2 linked regions of the Cricetulus griseus genome follow. The protein of the gene in region 2 binds, or shares a complex with, the protein of the main gene of each other region. Links are inferred from orthologs where the notes say so. Each region holds a gene or a part of one and is shown on either strand. Other genes may lie near its edges.

Region 1 (5,173 bases), on a different chromosome or scaffold from region 2:
CACAGCTTATCTAATTGCCACAATTCTTAAAGATGCAAACTGAGAACTGAACAATTAGCTGACTCAAGACTTCAATTTAGCCCATCTTTAGACAAGATGGATTGCCCACCACGGGATACGGAGCCCATGGGACTGTATCAATAGAGCTGAACCTTTACTCAGGCTCCACTGACTTTCTTTCCTCCCCCAGATCTCGTAACTCTAAATCTCTATCCTGGCCCCATCTTTGCGCCTTGGCTAGTGGATGTGGCATCAAATGTAGTCACGTTTTGCCTGCAAATGTTCTTGTAACCTGGATTAAATTTGACACAGCTTACAAAGCATATTTCATATTACAGATCAGATTCACAGCTACTGTAATATTCATTTTTCTTGGAAATTCTGCAGGTATGAAGCCCAAACTGAGCAGAAACAATCGTTTTTTCGACAGTAGCAACTGCCCTCACTGGCTAACATCACTTATCTGGCTCTCAAGGGCTCTCTTGCCAGCTGTCCTCCGAGAGTAAATGTCACCTCTTGTTGCCTAATTGCCACATCCACTAGCCTAATTGCTTCAGATAAACTCACTCTCTCCAGCGTCTTTCACTGTCTCTAACATTTTCTTTCTATGACGAATAACTCTCCTCTATTGGCTATACATACAATCCACTAAAAACTAAAATGGTTCTGTGGTATTGGACAACAAGCTGGATACTACTTTCTTGAATTCTCAAATTTGGGCTCTAAATATATAGAGGTGTCCCTCAGTACACAGAAAAGGCTAGACAACTGATTACACACACCTACTACTCCTCATACCACTTTTGTCAGAAAAACTATGAGACAGGGCCAGTATGGTGGCTTAGCTGGTAAAGGCATTGTTCCCAAGGCATGGATTGAATGCCTGGGACATGCATACTGGAAAGAGAACCAACTCTCTCTCTCTCTCCTCTCTCTCTCCCCCCCTCTCATGCATATAAAAAGGGTATGTTTTTAAAATATGAGACAATTCAATGGGTATTACTTTTTTTTAATAAGCAGAGCCCACATTATATAATTTGTTACAAGGAATAAAGAGGGACAATAATTCAAGACAGCACCAGAAAGCTTTTTCAGTCATAAAATAACTGAAGGACAAACATCTTCCCCTAAGCCCTTGGTTAAACGTTTCCTTCTGCTCTCTGTTCTACCATCCAGATCAGCCCGCTGCCCTTAAGTGTTATACTGGTTAGGTTCGAGGTCTTTTGGCTTGCTGTAATAATGGAATGAAGGTCCCTAGTTTAGCTAAGGAACCTAGACAAGTCTTCTTTAATTTCAGCTTCATCCCAAGGCCCATGAATATTTTCCTTAAAAAGCTGCAGACGAATGAGGTAGTAAGGGCAGAGACACGAAATGGAAATCAGCAGAAGGGCAAAGAGTATGGCTCCCACACCACTAATGGACAAAAGACCCCCAAAAGCTGAAAATGCAAAAAGCAGAGTGACCCCTACATAACTTCGGGGGGTATATGCCTTCAGTTTCTTCTGTAACATGGGCCACAGTGCAAAAATCTGGATGGCAAATGTCACCATAATGAAGGCATGCAGTGACCGGGGGAGACGAGAGGCCAGGCAAACAGAAGCAAAGATGGCCATGTTCAAGGACAGTGTGCTGGATACAATTGCGGCATTGGCACCATAATCAAAGAAGATGAGATGGCCTAACAGCATAAAAACTGACATGGCGTAGATGGTGTCAGTACTGACAGACTCTGTCAGGGTCTTTAGCACTGGTGAAAAACCATAAGTGAATGTAATGAAGACCAGAGTACTCTTCAGGTCAGCCCATCGGGTCCGCCCACTCTTCTTCCGTCCATCACCTCCATCGATGAGATCAAATAAAACATACCCAATCAATGAAGATGCCAGTCCAGTCCCAAAAAGCCACTGGGGGGCCAGAAGACCCTCATCCATGTACCACCAGATCACTACAAAAACACAGACACTACAGAGCTGCTGCACCACCACACTGGACTCAAATACCACAGCCCAGTATTGGTATTTCCGGGCATAGATGTTTTTCCGGAGTTCTTCCAGGAATCTTTGATCAACATAATTATCGGGGAAGGGCTGCCGTTCATATAAAACCTTCTGCCACTTGACTTCTGTGGTGTCCGTTAGGTGTTGAGCACACATTATCTCATCCTTCCCTTAAATCCAGGCTGGTCGGATCTCCCTCAGAGAAGTCCACACAATTCTCCTTCTTGATACAGTTACAAATTAGGACCTCTATGGAAATGCCATGTTGATACCTTCCAGATGTTTCCTTGTTTACAAAGGCTGCAACCCAGGCTAGCTAGGCCTGCAGCAGATGAGGTGTTCTGTGAGGCAGGACAACACAGCTAAATTCTTAGAAAAAGAGAGATCTGTGAATATATGAAAGCTCGAAAAGGTCATGGTAGGACTATGTTATAATACAAAACAACTCAGTTTAATGAAAGCCTAAATCAATTGTGCGAAGTGACATAATTTGAGACATTTAAAATATAATATTAACAATTCATATCTGCATGACATCACTGACTCAGAATGCTAAATATCTTACACAACATTACAAGTTAGTACCTGTCCCACTTTACCTAGTAAGACAATTGAGTTTCACACTGGTTGGGTATTTATGTCCCAGGGTAACAATGGAGCCAGAACTCCAACAAAATCTAGTATCAAAGTTTGTGCTTCTCATTATCTTCCTTAAAGCCAGTCAACTTTGGCGTTCTCACACCTAAGGTATGTACTATTTTTGCATGTTTGTATTTGCAACATACGCAAATATAGGAACACAATCCATAGCTGTTACAAGGTTCCCAAAGGCATCGAATTAAGTTCTAGATCTCATGACAACAATAATCTGCACAATACAGAAGGGCGTGATAGCTACAGTTTTAGCCCAAACCAAGAACTCAAGCCTTCTTTGTTCATTAACTAAGCTTACCACCCTCTACAGTGATTTATCATTCTAATTAAATGAAACAGCAAAACTCCAGTGCGGGATAGATAACCATTCCATTTTCAGAAGGGAAAACTCAGAGTCAGAAACACGAAGGTCATTAAGTAAAACTGAGGAGGAAAAAAACTCCCCGCTGGACCTTTCTTTATTCTACGGAGGCCAGGATAGGCTGGCAGACACCCTAGAGTCTACCCTCACGCACAGGGACCTCTGGATTTGAAAGGTCCGCGTCAGCGGACAGGGAAGGGTCCGGTCTTGTGCTGTCACTCACCCAGCCGGCCTGCCCCGCCCGCCGCCGCCGCCTGTCTCCCACCCAGCCTTAGCTCAGCGGTACCAGCCAGACAGGAAGGATGCCGGAACCCACCTGCACCGAGCTCTTAGGGGTGCACGACTGAGAAGGGCAGCCGCCCAGCGATTTCTACATCCGGGGCGCGGGGTTGGAGGGTACCGCTGTGAAGGAGCACTTCCGGCTCTGCACCACTCCGCCGCCAAAGCGGCGCTCACGGAGACAGCACACCGCGAGGTCGCTGCTGCCCTCTACTGGCTGCTTCTCTCCCGGAGATCGGCTCAAAGTGCGATCTCTGCTCCTGGAAGAAAAGGAAGCTCCTCCAGGGTTCAAAGGGAGGAGAAGGCAGGAATAGATTCTGAGCTGGTGGAAGAGTGGTAGCAGCTGCAGATGTTGAGCTTATGTTATTGTCAGGCCCTCAGCTAAGGGACTTCTCTTGCGTTCCAGCCTTCAGAGGTGCCAACCCAGGCTTCTAGTGCTGCATTAACTACACAGAGGAAACAAAAACAACTGTATAGATCTCATGGCGCTTTCTGGGCATTGGCTTCCACAGAGACGATGTGATCACAAGTTTATATTTGTCCAAAGTCAGGCAGCTGTATACTGATTGCAACTAGATCAAATGTCCAAATGTGGATGGCTCTACAACTCGATTCTTTCCCAGAGTTTGCCACCCAAAGAGAGTGAGGAGGGTGGAGGCCCTTGGGTCTGAAAACATGGCTAGAGGATTGGGACAAGAGATGGCTGGTTTTCAGCTGAGCTCATGGAAATATTACAGAATTTAGAAATAGACGTTAAGTACAAAGAACTGAAAATATGTAGAATATGGGATATAGTGGACACAAAAGTCAGAAAGCATGAACCCATTTATTAGCAGTGTCGCTTAGAAGAACTTACACTGTCGTCACTTTGAACTCTTCGTTTAAAAACCAGAGGAGGCACGTATTTGTTCTTGGCCACTTTATGGGACGGTTGAAAGACTCACATGTACAAATTTTTGTAGAGGTGATTGCTATGTGATAGCTAATAACTTACTTTGGTTATCACAGAACTAGCACTAGTCAAGTGTTTAACTCTGTTTTAATGTTTCATTTTAAATTTTATCTACACATGTGTCCATATGTAAGTATGTGCTCCTGAAAGCAGGTACCTGTGGGGGCCATAAGAGGGGGTGCTAAGTCCCCTGCAACTATAGTTAACAGGTAGCTGTGAATGGATAGTGCGTGTTATCAACTGAACCTGGATTTTCTCAAAGAGAAGAAAGTGCTTTTAACACTGAGCCATCTCTCCAGTCCTGTGACCCATTTTAACATTTATTTTCATTTTTCATAAGTGTGATAACTTATGCAAAACTATCTCTTTCCCTTTCTCTTTAGGCTTTTGTTCCAAAATTTGACAAGGTTCCTTGGCTTAGTGAGGCCAGCCTGGTAAACAAGCCCTTGGTACTCAGCCTCCCTGGAAGGTAATCCCCCAGCTTCTGAGGACAAAGCGTTTGAGAGAGATCTCAAGGGGGAGAGGTGGGTGTGGTGGGTGGAAAAACCTGGTCAAGTGCACAAAACTCAGAAATGCCCTGGCATTCTCAGACAAAGGTTATGCTGCATGAAGGCCTTGCCAGAGGAGATGAGGCCCGCATAACATTCCTTTCTGCCTCCACTATCCAACCCTAGATACTAGCTCTCAAAACCATTCCATATCTTTCCCTCCCCTGCTTTAGTTTCCAGTCTTCAAATTTCAACTATCAGAAGTCTAGAACCGTGGTAACTAGTTTTAATAGAGTAGTAGCTGCTGTTTTTCACTTGGGACCTTCTCTAGTTTCATTGCCGCCACCCCAGAGCCAATAAAGAACACATTTCTGTTTTTGAAACTTGAGAATTTGTATGTAGAGGGATTTCAGTTTCCACTTAAAATACTTAGGTTCCTCAT
Region 2 (4,678 bases):
GACTCAAAAAACAATAAACAGCAGGAAATGAAGTTTCCTTGAAGCCAGTGAGATGAGAAGGGACAGAACTGTGGACTGCTAGGCAAAGTTAAAGTGACCTGGACAAGCTATTGGCTCCAGGCTAGGGAGGAAGAGGCCCTGAATCCCAGGCTGTATCTGGGTCTACTGTGGCCCTCCTGTCTTTGTGTCTGAGGTGAAGAAGTGGAGGCAGAGGGTATGTGTGCAACATTGTAAATGAGTCTTTGGCCTGGGCCTCCTGAAGTTAATGGAGAAATTAGCTAGAAGGATGTTCTCAAAATGTTTTATAGGCATTCAGTAGCACTGCGATGCCTGCAGGCAGACCTAGATATTGATTCAAAGCCAAGGAATCTGCACATCCCTATCAAATGGCTCTGAGCTAGCTGGAAGTCAAATGGGCATACTGGTCACCTTAGAAATCACCTGAACTAGAGGTGAACATTGGCTATATCAGGTAATCCTGAGGCCCCTGCTGTATCCAAAACCCCAGAGACAAACAACATCATGTCTAAAAGACGTAGATTTCCCTCAAGGACTCTGGAATCAGGGGATTCCAGAGATTCAGGGGAACAGCTTAGATGATGATTATAGGCAGTGCAGGATGAGCCTGGCACAGTCTAGCAGCCCTCATTCTGTCCTGCTTCCAAGGGTGAGGGCCATCAAAAATGCAGACATATAGCCTATAACCTCATTGAGATAGACTGCTCTGAGCCATACCCTGCACAGACCCTGCAGCAAGACTCACATATTACAGGAAGGATGAGGCCTCAGGTCTTTATGTCTCTGAAATATACTCTCAGGGAGACAGAGCAGACAGCATGTTCCCGGGGCCAAGTCTATCTTCTACTCTACTGTGTTCTGCTCACCCATGCCACATCCACCAATTCTTTCAGGCAGGAGACACATGAGGTTGGCACAGGTGCTTTTGCAAGGCCTATGGGTATGTTGTACCATCTGTTAGAAGCCAGCCACCCTGAACCCAACACTTACCAGCCAGCCTATAGGGTCGGCAGAGTCGAAGGCCAAGGGAGTATAGCGGCAGGGAGTTGATGAGGTCCACAAGAAGATGGATTAGGCCCTGCACAGTGATCACCAGGAGCCGGAGCTGTCGCAAAGGTCACATTCAGGGCCACTGACTGGGGCTGAAGCCACACATCAGACTAAGAGGAGAGCAGCCCAATAGGCTCTTGAGCTATACTCACTAAGGGTGACCAGAGGCTCAGGAACCCTAAGGAAAACATAGACTCCACCCTAAAGAGACTAAAGAGCTGGCAGCAGAGCAGCTGGCACTCTTTCCTAGTCAGAAACTGTGTATTAACATTCCCAACACTTACAGGTCAAACCCAGAGGGCCTGAGCCATCTGGGGATCACTTATCTCATACTGTCCAGCCTGGTGTTGTTCCTCTACGATTCTATCCACCCACTATGGGGCCTGACCTCCTCTGTAACCAGCCCAGTCCAGGGCAGGACCCCCCAACTGCTTTAAGACCAGCATATAGTTCCCAGAGAGTTCAGAACAGCCACAGTGATGTGACCCGAAGAGATAGATGGCCCGTTCCCCATGTGACTGGCTCAGGCAGTGACCAGTCCAAGTTTTGTAGGTCCCAGAACAGGAGGTACTGGACTCACCAGGGTAAATACCAGGTAGTACAGAGCGGTGGTAGGCAGCAAGAAGACCAGGATGGTAAAGAGCAAGGTCCCAATGAACAGCTGTGGGGAACAAGCACACTTGGTATTATAAGACCAAAACCAGGGGAGGCCACTCCATCACTCTCCACACACACCCATCGTTAAACTGCTGTTGGGATTTTTTGGCCTCCTGTGCTAGCAAGGGTCAGCATGATCCCTTTACCATGAGGGATGTGTCCACATACCTTGTGGACCTGGTGGCTTGTGGGGATATAACCAGCAGGGTATACAGGCAAATATGAGGTTAGGAAAAAGTGCATATCAGGTCTGGGTGAGCAAATGGAATAAGCCAAATCAGGCCTTATGCCCACCTGAGCAAAGTATGTGTAGGTCTGCTGGCACCTCCCCCCAGGCCAACTGTCAGAGGATAGTTACAGTAGGCTGGTCACTGGTAGTGTCCAAGGAGTTGCCCTGACAAGGTCAGCAGGCTCAAAGCTGTAGGTACCTGGTCAAGATCATAGGAACAGGAATCCACCCGCTGGCGCAGAACATTCCACTTCTTCCCCCGGAACAGACGCCAGAGCGAGGAGAGGCCATAGATCTTCAGGCAGTACAGCCTGTAGGACACAGGCTCATGAGGGCCAGCTGGGAGCCTGTGCCACGCCTCACCCATCTGCTCAGACCCTGCTGTGTGCCCATGGCTTAGAACACTACACTTGGGTAAATACGTACCTGGCACCATAGACATAGAAGCAGTAGATGTGGAAGGTAAGGAGGGCGATGATGTCGGAAAGGATGGACAGGGCAACAGTCAGTCCTAGGCAGGCTGAGAGGCCCACATGCCACAGGATGTGCTCAATAAAGGGGGACATAAGGTGGATATAGCCTGCAGGATGGAGTTCAGCTATGAGTAGTGCCCAGCGAGGCACAGTGAGCCCCAGTTCCTGAGAATGGGCACCTAACACTTCAGGACACCAGTGAGTACAGACCCAGCCACTGGCCCGACACAATTGCTTCATATAAATGGGAGGCTAGAAAATGGAGGCAGAGGGGATGGGGACTGGCTAGGGTTCCTGTTCTCCTCTATCAGCCCTACTGGGCTGCTCAACCCTGCCCATCAGGCACTCACTGATCCACAGATGGATGTGGTACAGGAAAAAGCGGCCTAGCACCTGATCCAGTGCCCGATTCATCTTGAGCCCAGCAGGAGCACCCATCAGCCACTGCAGCAGATGCTGGAGCTCCTCAGCCACGCGCTACAGAGACATGGGGCAGGGAAGGGATGACATGGTCACACTGAGGTAAGTGGGTGGGTGGAAAATTATCCATAATGGGCTCCCACTATAGCCAGTCTATCTGGGCTGGGTAAGGGCAGCCACTTCTTCCAAGGTTCAAATCATTGTCCTTTTTTTTGTGGGGGGAGGCAAGGTCTCACTATGTAGTCCCAGCTGTCCTAGAACTCACTCTGTAGACCACACTGGTCTCAGACTCACAGAGATCTGCCTGCCTCTGCCTCCCCAGTGCTGGGTTAAAGGTGTGCACCACCATGCCCAGCAAATCATTGTCGGCTAACATTGCATAGAAGCAATGTTTCCCAAATTCGCCTGGCCACTGGACCCCTGACCCCTGGTCACAGATGATTTCTTTCTTTCTTTCTTCTCTTTCTTTCTTTTTCTTTCTTTCTTTCTTTCTTTCTTTCTTTCTTTCTTTCTTTCTTTAAATTTAAATGCACTTTATTTTTAAACAACCTACATTACATGTTTTTTTTCTTTTCTTTTTTTTAAATTTATTTATTTTTACTACATATATAGTGTTCTGTCGGCATATTTGCCTGCACACCAGAAGTGGGCACCAGATCTTATGAAAGATGGTTGTGAGCCACCATGCAGTTGCTGGGAATTGAACTCAGGACTTCTGGAAGAGCAGTCCAGTGCTCTTAACCTCTGAGCCATCTCTCCAGCCCCAGATCATTTATTTCTAAGATCCTGCTCTGAAGCATCTTCCAACATAAACCAGTTCCTTGGGCATGTGTCCCCACGGGATATCTACCTCAACTTGAGAACTTCCTTCATGCTCACTATCTTGCCATTTCAGTCCTGGAACCATAAGGCCTTAAACCCACGATACCTAGGTATGGCTGAGGTTGGATTGACCCTGGCTCAATTCAAACAACGCAGGGGAACTTGAGAATACTGAAGCTCTTGGTCAAGACCTCTCTCCTTGCCACTTGCTACCAGAGGTTAAGGCCACCCAGCAATCGATAGCCACCTTGGGTGAATGAGAGGGTGTCAAACCAACCAGGGACTAAGGAAGCAGGTTGGAGCACTGGAGAGCAAGGGCACTCAGAGAAAAGACAAAATTAATTGAGCACAGGGACTTCAACAGTAAGCAGGAAAACTGGACCTGGCTGCCACAGGAGTAACTCCTGTATCCCTATATGCTCTTTCCAAAGCCTCTCGCAACCCTGTGCAAGAGCCTTAGGACCACCAGGGAAGACAGCAAAACCTTCTTTATAAATAGGGCTTATTTAATATTTAAAGGATAAAAGCCTGGCAGCGGAAAGAGACTCCACTTTTTAATTAAATATTTATATATATATATATATAGTAATTTTGCAAAAAAGAATTCAGACAAAGCTGGCCAAGAAACAGAATATAGAAACAGCCTAACCCCTTCTACCCAACCACTTTCCTACTGGGATGCCCTCCATATAGCTTACATTTCAGGTAGCCGAGAGGAACCCACTGCTGCTCCCAGGTTCCCAGCCTGGAAACAAGCAGACCTGACATACGCCTGCACTGATGGGAGACCTTCAAGGCTTCCACAAGAGAGACAGGGCTTTGGCTCTACTGAAAATGAGATGCAGAACTGAAAAGTTCTGAGGCTGGGTGGAAATGAGGAGGTGGAGGAGGCCAGAAGAGCAGGAAGGGACCAGCATGATATGCTGCACACACCATGCAGGGGAACACTGGGAGCACAGAGGACAGGCCTGTGCCTCTTGTTCTCAGGATAAGAGCAATCTGGGAGTAG

Evidence for each region.
Region 1: Pigq (region 2) and Pigc share a complex: the UniProt entries of both Homo sapiens proteins name them as parts of the glycosylphosphatidylinositol-N-acetylglucosaminyltransferase (GPI-GnT) complex. The link is inferred for Cricetulus griseus from reciprocal best matches to the Homo sapiens genes PIGQ and PIGC.

Annotation. Positions count from the first base shown.
Region 1 is NC_048598.1:30,146,039-30,151,211, forward strand, and holds Pigc (phosphatidylinositol N-acetylglucosaminyltransferase subunit C), read right to left. Parts: upstream 3,188-5,173; intron 2,745-3,187; coding exon of another isoform or gene 2,715-2,744; intron 2,600-2,714; coding exon of another isoform or gene 2,528-2,599; intron 2,367-2,527; 5' UTR 2,154-2,366; coding exon 1,260-2,153; 3' UTR 989-1,259; downstream 1-988. Other genes in the region: CUNH1orf105 (uncharacterized protein C1orf105 homolog), read left to right, coding at 2,528-2,599, 2,715-2,744, 3,188-3,595, 4,627-4,712. UniProt on the Homo sapiens protein: Part of the glycosylphosphatidylinositol-N-acetylglucosaminyltransferase (GPI-GnT) complex that catalyzes the transfer of N-acetylglucosamine from UDP-N-acetylglucosamine to phosphatidylinositol and participates in the first step of GPI biosynthesis.
Region 2 is NC_048600.1:45,550,950-45,555,627, forward strand, and holds part of Pigq (phosphatidylinositol N-acetylglucosaminyltransferase subunit Q), read right to left. Parts: intron 2,905-4,678; coding exon 2,778-2,904; intron 2,535-2,777; coding exon 2,381-2,534; intron 2,266-2,380; coding exon 2,154-2,265; intron 1,730-2,153; coding exon 1,649-1,729; intron 1,161-1,648; exon of another isoform or gene 1,124-1,160; coding exon 1,009-1,123; intron 1-1,008. UniProt on the Homo sapiens protein: Part of the glycosylphosphatidylinositol-N-acetylglucosaminyltransferase (GPI-GnT) complex that catalyzes the transfer of N-acetylglucosamine from UDP-N-acetylglucosamine to phosphatidylinositol and participates in the first step of GPI biosynthesis.